Linked DNA regions of Bombyx mori. The protein of the gene in region 2 binds, or shares a complex with, the protein of the main gene of each other region. Links are inferred from orthologs where the notes say so. Each region holds a gene or a part of one and is shown on either strand. Other genes may lie near its edges. The genes, in order: regulator of nonsense transcripts 1 and regulator of nonsense transcripts 2.

Evidence for each region.
Region 1: the proteins of regulator of nonsense transcripts 2 (region 2) and regulator of nonsense transcripts 1 are in contact, whole or in part, in a crystal structure (PDB 2WJV), measured with the Homo sapiens proteins. The link is inferred for Bombyx mori from reciprocal best matches to the Homo sapiens genes UPF2 and UPF1. Residues at the interface, in NP_056357.1 of Homo sapiens: Val1105, Cys1107, Glu1109, Asp1110, Phe1113, Ile1114, Ala1116, Leu1117, Met1120, Met1121, Asn1124, Leu1125, Arg1128, Met1169, Pro1170, Phe1171, Val1172, Met1173, Leu1174, Thr1175, Gln1181, Lys1184, Leu1186, Asn1187, Val1188, Pro1189, Ser1192, Gln1193, Leu1194, Asn1197; in NP_001284478.1 of Homo sapiens: Asn150, Thr151, Ser152, Gly153, Val157, Asn158, Leu160, Val161, Arg162, Lys164, Lys166, Pro175, Leu176, Gly177, Thr179, Tyr184, Cys188, Asn190, Val191, Phe192, Leu193, Phe196, Pro198, Asp202, Ser203, Val204, Val205, Val206, Leu207, Cys209.

What each region holds. Positions count from the first base shown.
Region 1 is NC_085127.1:8,621,106-8,624,493, reverse strand, and holds the end of regulator of nonsense transcripts 1, read right to left. Parts: coding exon 2,075-3,388; 3' UTR 704-2,074; downstream 1-703. UniProt on the Homo sapiens protein: RNA-dependent helicase required for nonsense-mediated decay (NMD) of aberrant mRNAs containing premature stop codons and modulates the expression level of normal mRNAs.
Region 2 is NC_085110.1:14,020,862-14,025,239, forward strand, and holds the start of regulator of nonsense transcripts 2, read right to left. Parts: upstream 2,894-4,378; 5' UTR 2,721-2,893; coding exon 2,025-2,720; intron 1,139-2,024; coding exon 926-1,138; intron 1-925. UniProt on the Homo sapiens protein: Involved in nonsense-mediated decay (NMD) of mRNAs containing premature stop codons by associating with the nuclear exon junction complex (EJC).

The DNA.
Region 1 (3,388 bases), on a different chromosome or scaffold from region 2:
CGTAGATAACACTATTTATATTTTTGTTCATTAAAAAAATAGTGCATAAAACGTGGCAAAAATGGAGTCTCGTAATAATATATTTATTTCTCTACGAAGATCTGCGTTTTGACTACGAAATTATGTGAAGCACATTTAGGTTGTGATTGTAACGTTTTATACAGTATGAAGATATTAGATATCCATGAATTGTCTTGACTACTGCTATATGCTCAAATAAAATATATTGCATTTAACATCTGATACTTGAAAGGTTTCAAACAGATCATATAAAGACAAATGAATATTCTTAGTATTTATAGTTAACATACGATTGCGTCTTTAGACTGTAAGCTATATTGAGCGGGGAACTAATGAACTGTAAAAAAGTGACGCACTGATTTTACAATTAAATTTTCTTTTCATAAAAATTTATTAGTGCCTTTTAATAAAAAAAATTATTATTTGTAGTGCCAATATTGTCAGCTTTACTAATGCAAATATGTGATTAGTTATGCTATTTAAGTATTACATTTAAGTACTTACGCATTTGGATTTTCTGCGATGAGCTCAAGGCCTGAAGTTGGAATTGCGTAAAGCCTATTTTTTTAATAAGCAAAATATTTTATAATCACCTATTAATTTATAGTTATATTGGGCATTTATATACTCATTTATATTGTAATTTTATTTACCCTTATTAACGGAAATAAATAAAAACATATACAAATTCTTGAATTTTTATTGCATTTCCTTCACAAAAACACATAACAAAAATCTTTCATTAAACAATGACAGATGATAAACAAATATTCACGAAACACTGAGGGTGTTAACAAAATTCTGTATCACAAAAGTAAATCGAGTGAAATTGAATGAAGGACATAAAATTTATATGAATTCATTTTAAAAGACAGATTTAAACATATTTCAGTTAACATTCGACGTCTTTATTTAGATTTTAGTGTACTTTTAAACAATTATACATAAAAAACTAATATATAACACAAGCTATCTAAGGTGAAGTATCCTTTTTGTGAGAGGTGATGATAGATGGAGGATGTTTGAAGATTTTGTAACAATTCATTATAAAATCTAGTTTAAAGTAAGAGTCACTAATACCAATATACGGATGACCAGAAACTAACAACAGAAGCAGTTGGAATTATGTATTTGTCTTGTTTTATGTTCTTTGTGATTAAAAAGAAATTCTTATGTTTAGTGAAATTATGCACAAAATTATTGCTTGTCATATGTATTAATTTTTATATTTTTGTTTTGTGACAACGACAGATGCACGAGTACATTTTATATGATTTTTGTAGAAGGAAAAACAATTACAAGTGAACATGATTTTTTCAGACGAAATTTAGTTTTGAAATAAATGTCAACGATCTATGAAGAACTTTTCACGAATGATAATGATTGTGGAAAAATAATAACCGGAATCTAACACCGTTTACTAACTTGATTATGAAATTTTAGATTTCCTTGAATTTCTATTTGTGAAATGGTATCGATAATGTATTCGGTGATGAAAGCATCGAGTTCACAATTGACCAAAATCAAGTGAGACTCGATTTATGAGATGCAATTTGGTCGACTAAGAAAATTCGTTTTTGCTTCCTCGTTTTTTTTTGCTCGCATGCTGCTTTTATTATTTTTGTTGCTTATGTAATTTACATAAAATACTAAAAGTTTTTTTTTTATATAACGAAATGTTACTTTGCTGATTGAAATAATTAAAGAATTTCGATAATACATTTTGTCGATTTAGATGATGAAACGGGTAAATGTCGATTTCTATTTTCTAGGCGTACAAGATAAATCATTAAAGATTTCCTTACGCCACAGGTCAAGGGGATAGACACGGCAGCAGTCGGGTTTTCCGTTTATTTCTGTAGTCGGACCTCCAATGAATTTCTATCCCTGTATGCGGTAACATTTAGCCCGCGCGTGGACCGCGAGGGCTCGTTTCGCGCTGACACATTTTCCAAGGTCTGAGTTTCCACTCGCGAACACGGTCGACGGGCGAAGACTAACGTTCCGGTCGGGGCGGGTCGTCTCGTCAGCGCCGCGGCCGCGTTCTCCGCTCTCAGTACTGACTGCAGCGTGCTCTGAACCCGCCCTGGTACGTAGAGTCCTGCGACAGCAGCCCGTCCGGTTGCGACGGACACTCCGGCGCCGTGGACTCCTGACTGAAGTCCGGTTGCGATGCGCCCTGCGACAGTGAGAGCGGCGGCTGCTGCGACAGGGGCTCCTGCGAGAAGCGCGGCGGGACGCGACGGCGCGGCATGCGCGGCGGCAGGCGTTGAGTTGGAAAGGCGGCTGGCGGCACCGGCGCATGTAGCAGGGCGCCGCGCTCCGGCCCCACGTACGCCAGCGGGTCTCGCGGAGGCCGCGCTCGGTCATAGATGGAGCCCGGCACCATGGCTTCACGCGCGTCGAACATCGAGGTGGACATGAAATGGGAGCCAGGATTCTGAGAGTTCACCAGCTTCTTCGGTTTTGCGAACTGAATGGCGGATTCTTTCAGATTCGAAAGCGGTCCTTCGGTAAGTACACGGCGCTCTTTGTAGAAAGCGAGCAAGTGATTCCAGAGCGGCTGTTTACTGAGCACTTTCGGATTGCCGACGACGATGAGGCCGTATTTGGCGCGCGTGAGAGCGACGTTAAGACGTCGCGGATCGCTCAAGAAGCCAATTCCTTGGTGTTCGTTGGACCGCACGCAAGACATAATTATGATGTCTTTTTCCCTCCCTTGGAAGGCATCGACGCTGGCAACCTCGATTTCTTGGTACAGTTTAGCATGTAGACTGCCCTGGTACTGCATGTGCTGCACAAGATAGGATCGTTGTCCCTCATAAGGTGTTATTATACCGATCTGCTCGGGACGGACGCCTGCTTTTAAGAACCGAGTTGTGAGTTTTTCAACATTCGCAGCTTCAGTTCTGTTTAAGTACGAAGTTCCGGAGCCGGCGATCTCTTCCTGTCCCTGAGTGACGTAAAAGAACATGGGCCTGTCAGGTCTGGGCCACGGAAAATCGATTTTGTGTAAACGCCTTTCTTCGGCGCTGACTCCATTCTGCAAGGACCCTTCGTAAAAGAAGTCTGAAGGAAAACGTGAAAGTTCAGGATGCATGCGGTACTGTACTTCGAGTCGGAACGGACGGATTCCGAGAACGACCAAACGTTCAAAAAGACTCTGGCTGAGACCGGCTTTTGCAGCTTTCTTACACATTACCACGGGACCGAGTTGACAGTGATCACCGACTAGAATCAACTGTCTGGCTCCTAGAACTACAGGCACCATACATTCTGGCTCGGTCGACTGCATGCCTTCATCGATCAAAATGGACTGGAATCTCATACGAGCAACGCGAGGGTCCCCGGCGCCTACGCAAGTGGT
Region 2 (4,378 bases):
ACGAGCTCACAGCCCACCTGGTGTTAAGTAGTTACTGGAGCCCATAGACATCCACAACGTAAATGCGCCACCCACCTCGAGATATGATGTCTATGGTTTCAGTATAGTTACAACGGCTGCTCCACCCTTCAAACCGATTCGCATTACTGCTTTCACTGCAGAAATAGGCGGGGTAGTGGTCCCTACCCGTGCGGTCTCACAAAACGTCCTACCACCAGTATTAATCAATTTATGCTTAATCAAATTATGGTAATTGTAAGATATCATATACTTTATAGAAATTTATGCTATTCAAAGAAAGCCAGCCAATACTATTCAGTCTGTTAAATGATGTGCAAAATTACAGATTATGAAAAAGCTCACAAACATTATTTTTAAATTTATCTCAGATTGTATTTTTCAGCTATCACAAAAAAAAAACTGGGTATAAAATTGGTTTAATCTATTTTATAATTATATCTAAATATATATCTAATTTATAATAATAATTCATTTATTATTTTAATATGTTATTCGGTCGGTTTATAATTAACTGAATGGATAATCTATGTCTCATAACTTCTGATAGCTTTAGATGTACCTGGAGTAAAAGAGAATGAGGTAGGTATAGGTTTTTTTATCGCCTTTGTAGCCAGACAAGCATACAGCCCACATGTTGGTGAGTGGTTACTGTTGCTCATGGACTTACTGTATACAATGACCATAAGAAAAACTTTACCTTTGTTAATTAATAATAGGAACATGTTGATTAAATTAATAAAATGGAACAGTCTTTAAACTGCTCATTTTGTCATTTTAACACTGGCTTCATGATATAGAAATATGAAAATTCAATTATACCAGAATCAGACAAAAGTTAGAAGATAGGAAGATATTATTGCTTAAAATTACAAACTTGAAAATTTAATATTAAATGTAAGCCTACTTGATGTTGTTCTAATTGTTCTTTTCTTTCTTGTGAGAGTTCTCCTCTGGTGTGCAGAGTCCTCTGATTTGCTGCATGCAGAGCTTGAAGTTGAGCTCTTTCCGCCAGCAGATGTTTGGTTAGTGAAAGAAAGTAATCTTTCAAGAGAGTTCTAACTGCTGTTTGTTTCTCTGCCGGTAAAAATGTATTTCGAGGAACAGGAATATTATGTTTCTGGAAAATAAATGTTTTGCTCTTTATTTATTACAAACTAAGCCATTCCATCCTAAATGTTACTTAATACTACACATATGCATATAAACGAGGGATTCCCAAACTTAGTTTTATCTACTGCCCACTTTGAGAATAAATTATTTTTTAATGCCCCATTTTTTCACCTACTTAAAAACCACTATCACTTCAAATTCAATTAATTATTGCGAGCTATATTAGTTGTTATTCATTCTAAACGAGACTTTTACCTCAAGAGTTAACTTGATACCTGAGCACAGTAGGTAGTACACAACACCTGCCAATGAAAATGATAATTGACGCACAACTTTATAATGTTCTGACAGATTTCTTATAAAAAAATAAAAATAAAAATCGATTCTAAAATAAGAACTAAGGTGAAGGATGAATCTAATGCTGTTTAATAAGTTTGTTGATATCAGGTTCCCATTTATTCAAAAACAGTCAATCAAACAGTCAGTCAAAATCAAGTCCTCGCCTTCGGTAACATACAAACGATTTCTCTTTTTAGTAAGCAGTGTTGCCACAGCATTAATTTCACGTTCACACAAATATAACGATGGGAATGCTATCAAGAATCGTTGAACATTGACCACACATTGTCAATTCTATAAGTTCTTCTTCTATAACTGTTATGTGTGAAACCACAAATAAAAATAAAATAAGTATTACGTTGTTTATATAGGACTACTTAAGCAACACACCAATTATATTTAAATATAAATTATCAACATATTCATTTTTTCTTTTCTTAATTTGATAAATTAATTTTTTATTTACTTTTATTTAGTACTCACCTACATTAAGAAACAATAATTAGCTGTATTTACTAATAAATAAAAGAATAGCTGATAAGAAATCAACTTACCTCAGAAGCTTCTCGTATTTTTCTAGGCATAAGTCCAGCATAATCATCACCACAGTGTTTGCAAAATGATAACAAAATTGGTATATTGTTATGCTCTTCTTTGTCCATGTTTATTAGAACAGTTAATACATTACCCAGCAAAGGCAATCCAGTTTTATTCATAAAAATACCGACAGCCACTAATTCTGCATAAAATCTTATATCCACCCGCAGTTTTGATGAATTTGTTATTTTATCAGTCGCTTTGAATGTTAAAATCTTTTGCCAGTTTTCAAAAAAGTTAGATGAAAAATCAGCGTAAGTACGATGAAGAACTGAACATAGAGTTATAGCAGCAGGAATATCAGACATTTTCAATTTTGCTTCTGCTATTGCAGCAGCCACTTCTGATATATATTTTGTAAGATTTAATGTTGCAAAATCTTTCAAAAGTACATCCAGCTGAGAAGCACTAAATGATTTTAGTTTTTTTACAAATGTGGTATTCTTTTTCAAACCTGAATCTAGCTTGGAAAAATAATTTTCTGGTGGTCGAGAGCAATTCAAATTTTGATTACGTATTTCATATTTTTGTTTCAATCTGGCTTCCAAGTTAGCTGTATACTCTTCGAGAGCCGCTTTCTCATTTTCTTCTAAATCTTTAAGCGGTTCTTCAATAGGTGTTTCGTTTGCCTCATCGTTGTTGGTGGCAGTCATTTTATCTTTTAGATAGGTATTATTTGAAGCCAATGGACACCACTATATGGTGTGAGCAACTTTCTTTTGCATTTATTAACTCAGCAAATCACATTTAATTCATTTAAAAATTTACAAACATTTGGGTAAGGTGTCATAAATATTATGTGTATTATCTTTTTTTTAAAGGGATTTTATGACCTGGTAACTAAGACCTTTAAGTCATGTCTTATTTTAATTTATATTCATATTTTTATGAAAAATGATATTATGCAGTGAAATGAAATGAAGATTATTAATCTGAGACATTAATCAACTGGGATGAAATCATAGAGTTACTATTCTAACTGGAGTGCTTACTTCGTTTGACATAAAAACTAAAAATATACTTTATCTCTATGGCTTAAAGTTTATTTTTAAATAGCAAAAGATGTAAGGAAAAACGGTCTGAAAAGAGAATGATTATTAAGTGGTGGTGTCCCTCTCGCACATTTTACAAACAAAAAGCAGTGTTGCTAGCTTAGAGGATTTTCCATAAAATCTCGGAATTTGGACCCCCGTCTTAGTTATCAAAAATGGCTTTTAGTGGTTAGTGGATTTTTTAGTAGCTTGGGCGTTGTTGAAAATTATTGAAAAGGTTAAAATCAATCCACTTTACAGGATTTTAAACATTTTATGACAATAATATATCTAAATACATATTATTTAAACGATGTGACTTAAACTTAACTAGAAAATATTGCGACAATTTAGAATTTCCATCAACGTCAAAAATTAAATTGGTTCAACATAAACGTACAAAGTTATGGTGAATTTATTTTCTGATGATGACAATTTATTAAAATAAATTATATAAGAAGTATTGATTATATGATATATATTGATTTTTAATAGAACATCATATATTAATAAAGCTCATTAACAAAAAAAATATTGTTCTATATTAATAAGAACTCTGTTTAATGGAAAATTTTATGGTAGGTACGTAGATTTCTGATGGTTTTCATGTTGAATTTGGTGGGAAGCCAGATTAATTGTTGGCATCACCGAAAAAGAGCTATGAATGGATTAAAAGAAAAATGGCGTCTATTTACGTTTGTAGTGCGAAGTTAAAATGGCACTGATACAGCTTGTGGCTTGTTTTTTTTTCGAAAATCGTGAAAGTTTCCGTGTAATCATGGTGAACACTTTTAATATAAGTGGTTTTAAGCGAGAATCCTCTCCAGTTTGTGGAATATCCTTCCATATGTCAGATTCATTGATAAAATTTTTACTAGTGTGAGCATATATTTTTAAAATGTGAGATATATTTTCTCATTATAATATTTAATACCATTTGTCTTGTAAATTGTACTTAATCTATGTCATATACTAAATTTGAAAAAACAATCGTGAAAACTATAATTTTGCAATGTATTTTTCATATTATAAGAGCCATCACGTGGTATTTCTTGAACTTTTTTTATTGTATTGAATAGCGTCGCACGCAAGCATGTATATCATTTGCCTGACGTTAAGCGAACGAGGAGGATCTTCTAGTAAATATGACTTTGGAATTTCTGGAAAATGTCCTTTAAAAAGGTCAAACAAGAAGAATCAAGTACTCAAACGCAAGAAAAAAAAAATACCCCGAGAAAAGCAAAATTACGACAAGATGTTAAGGTATTGAAACAAAAACT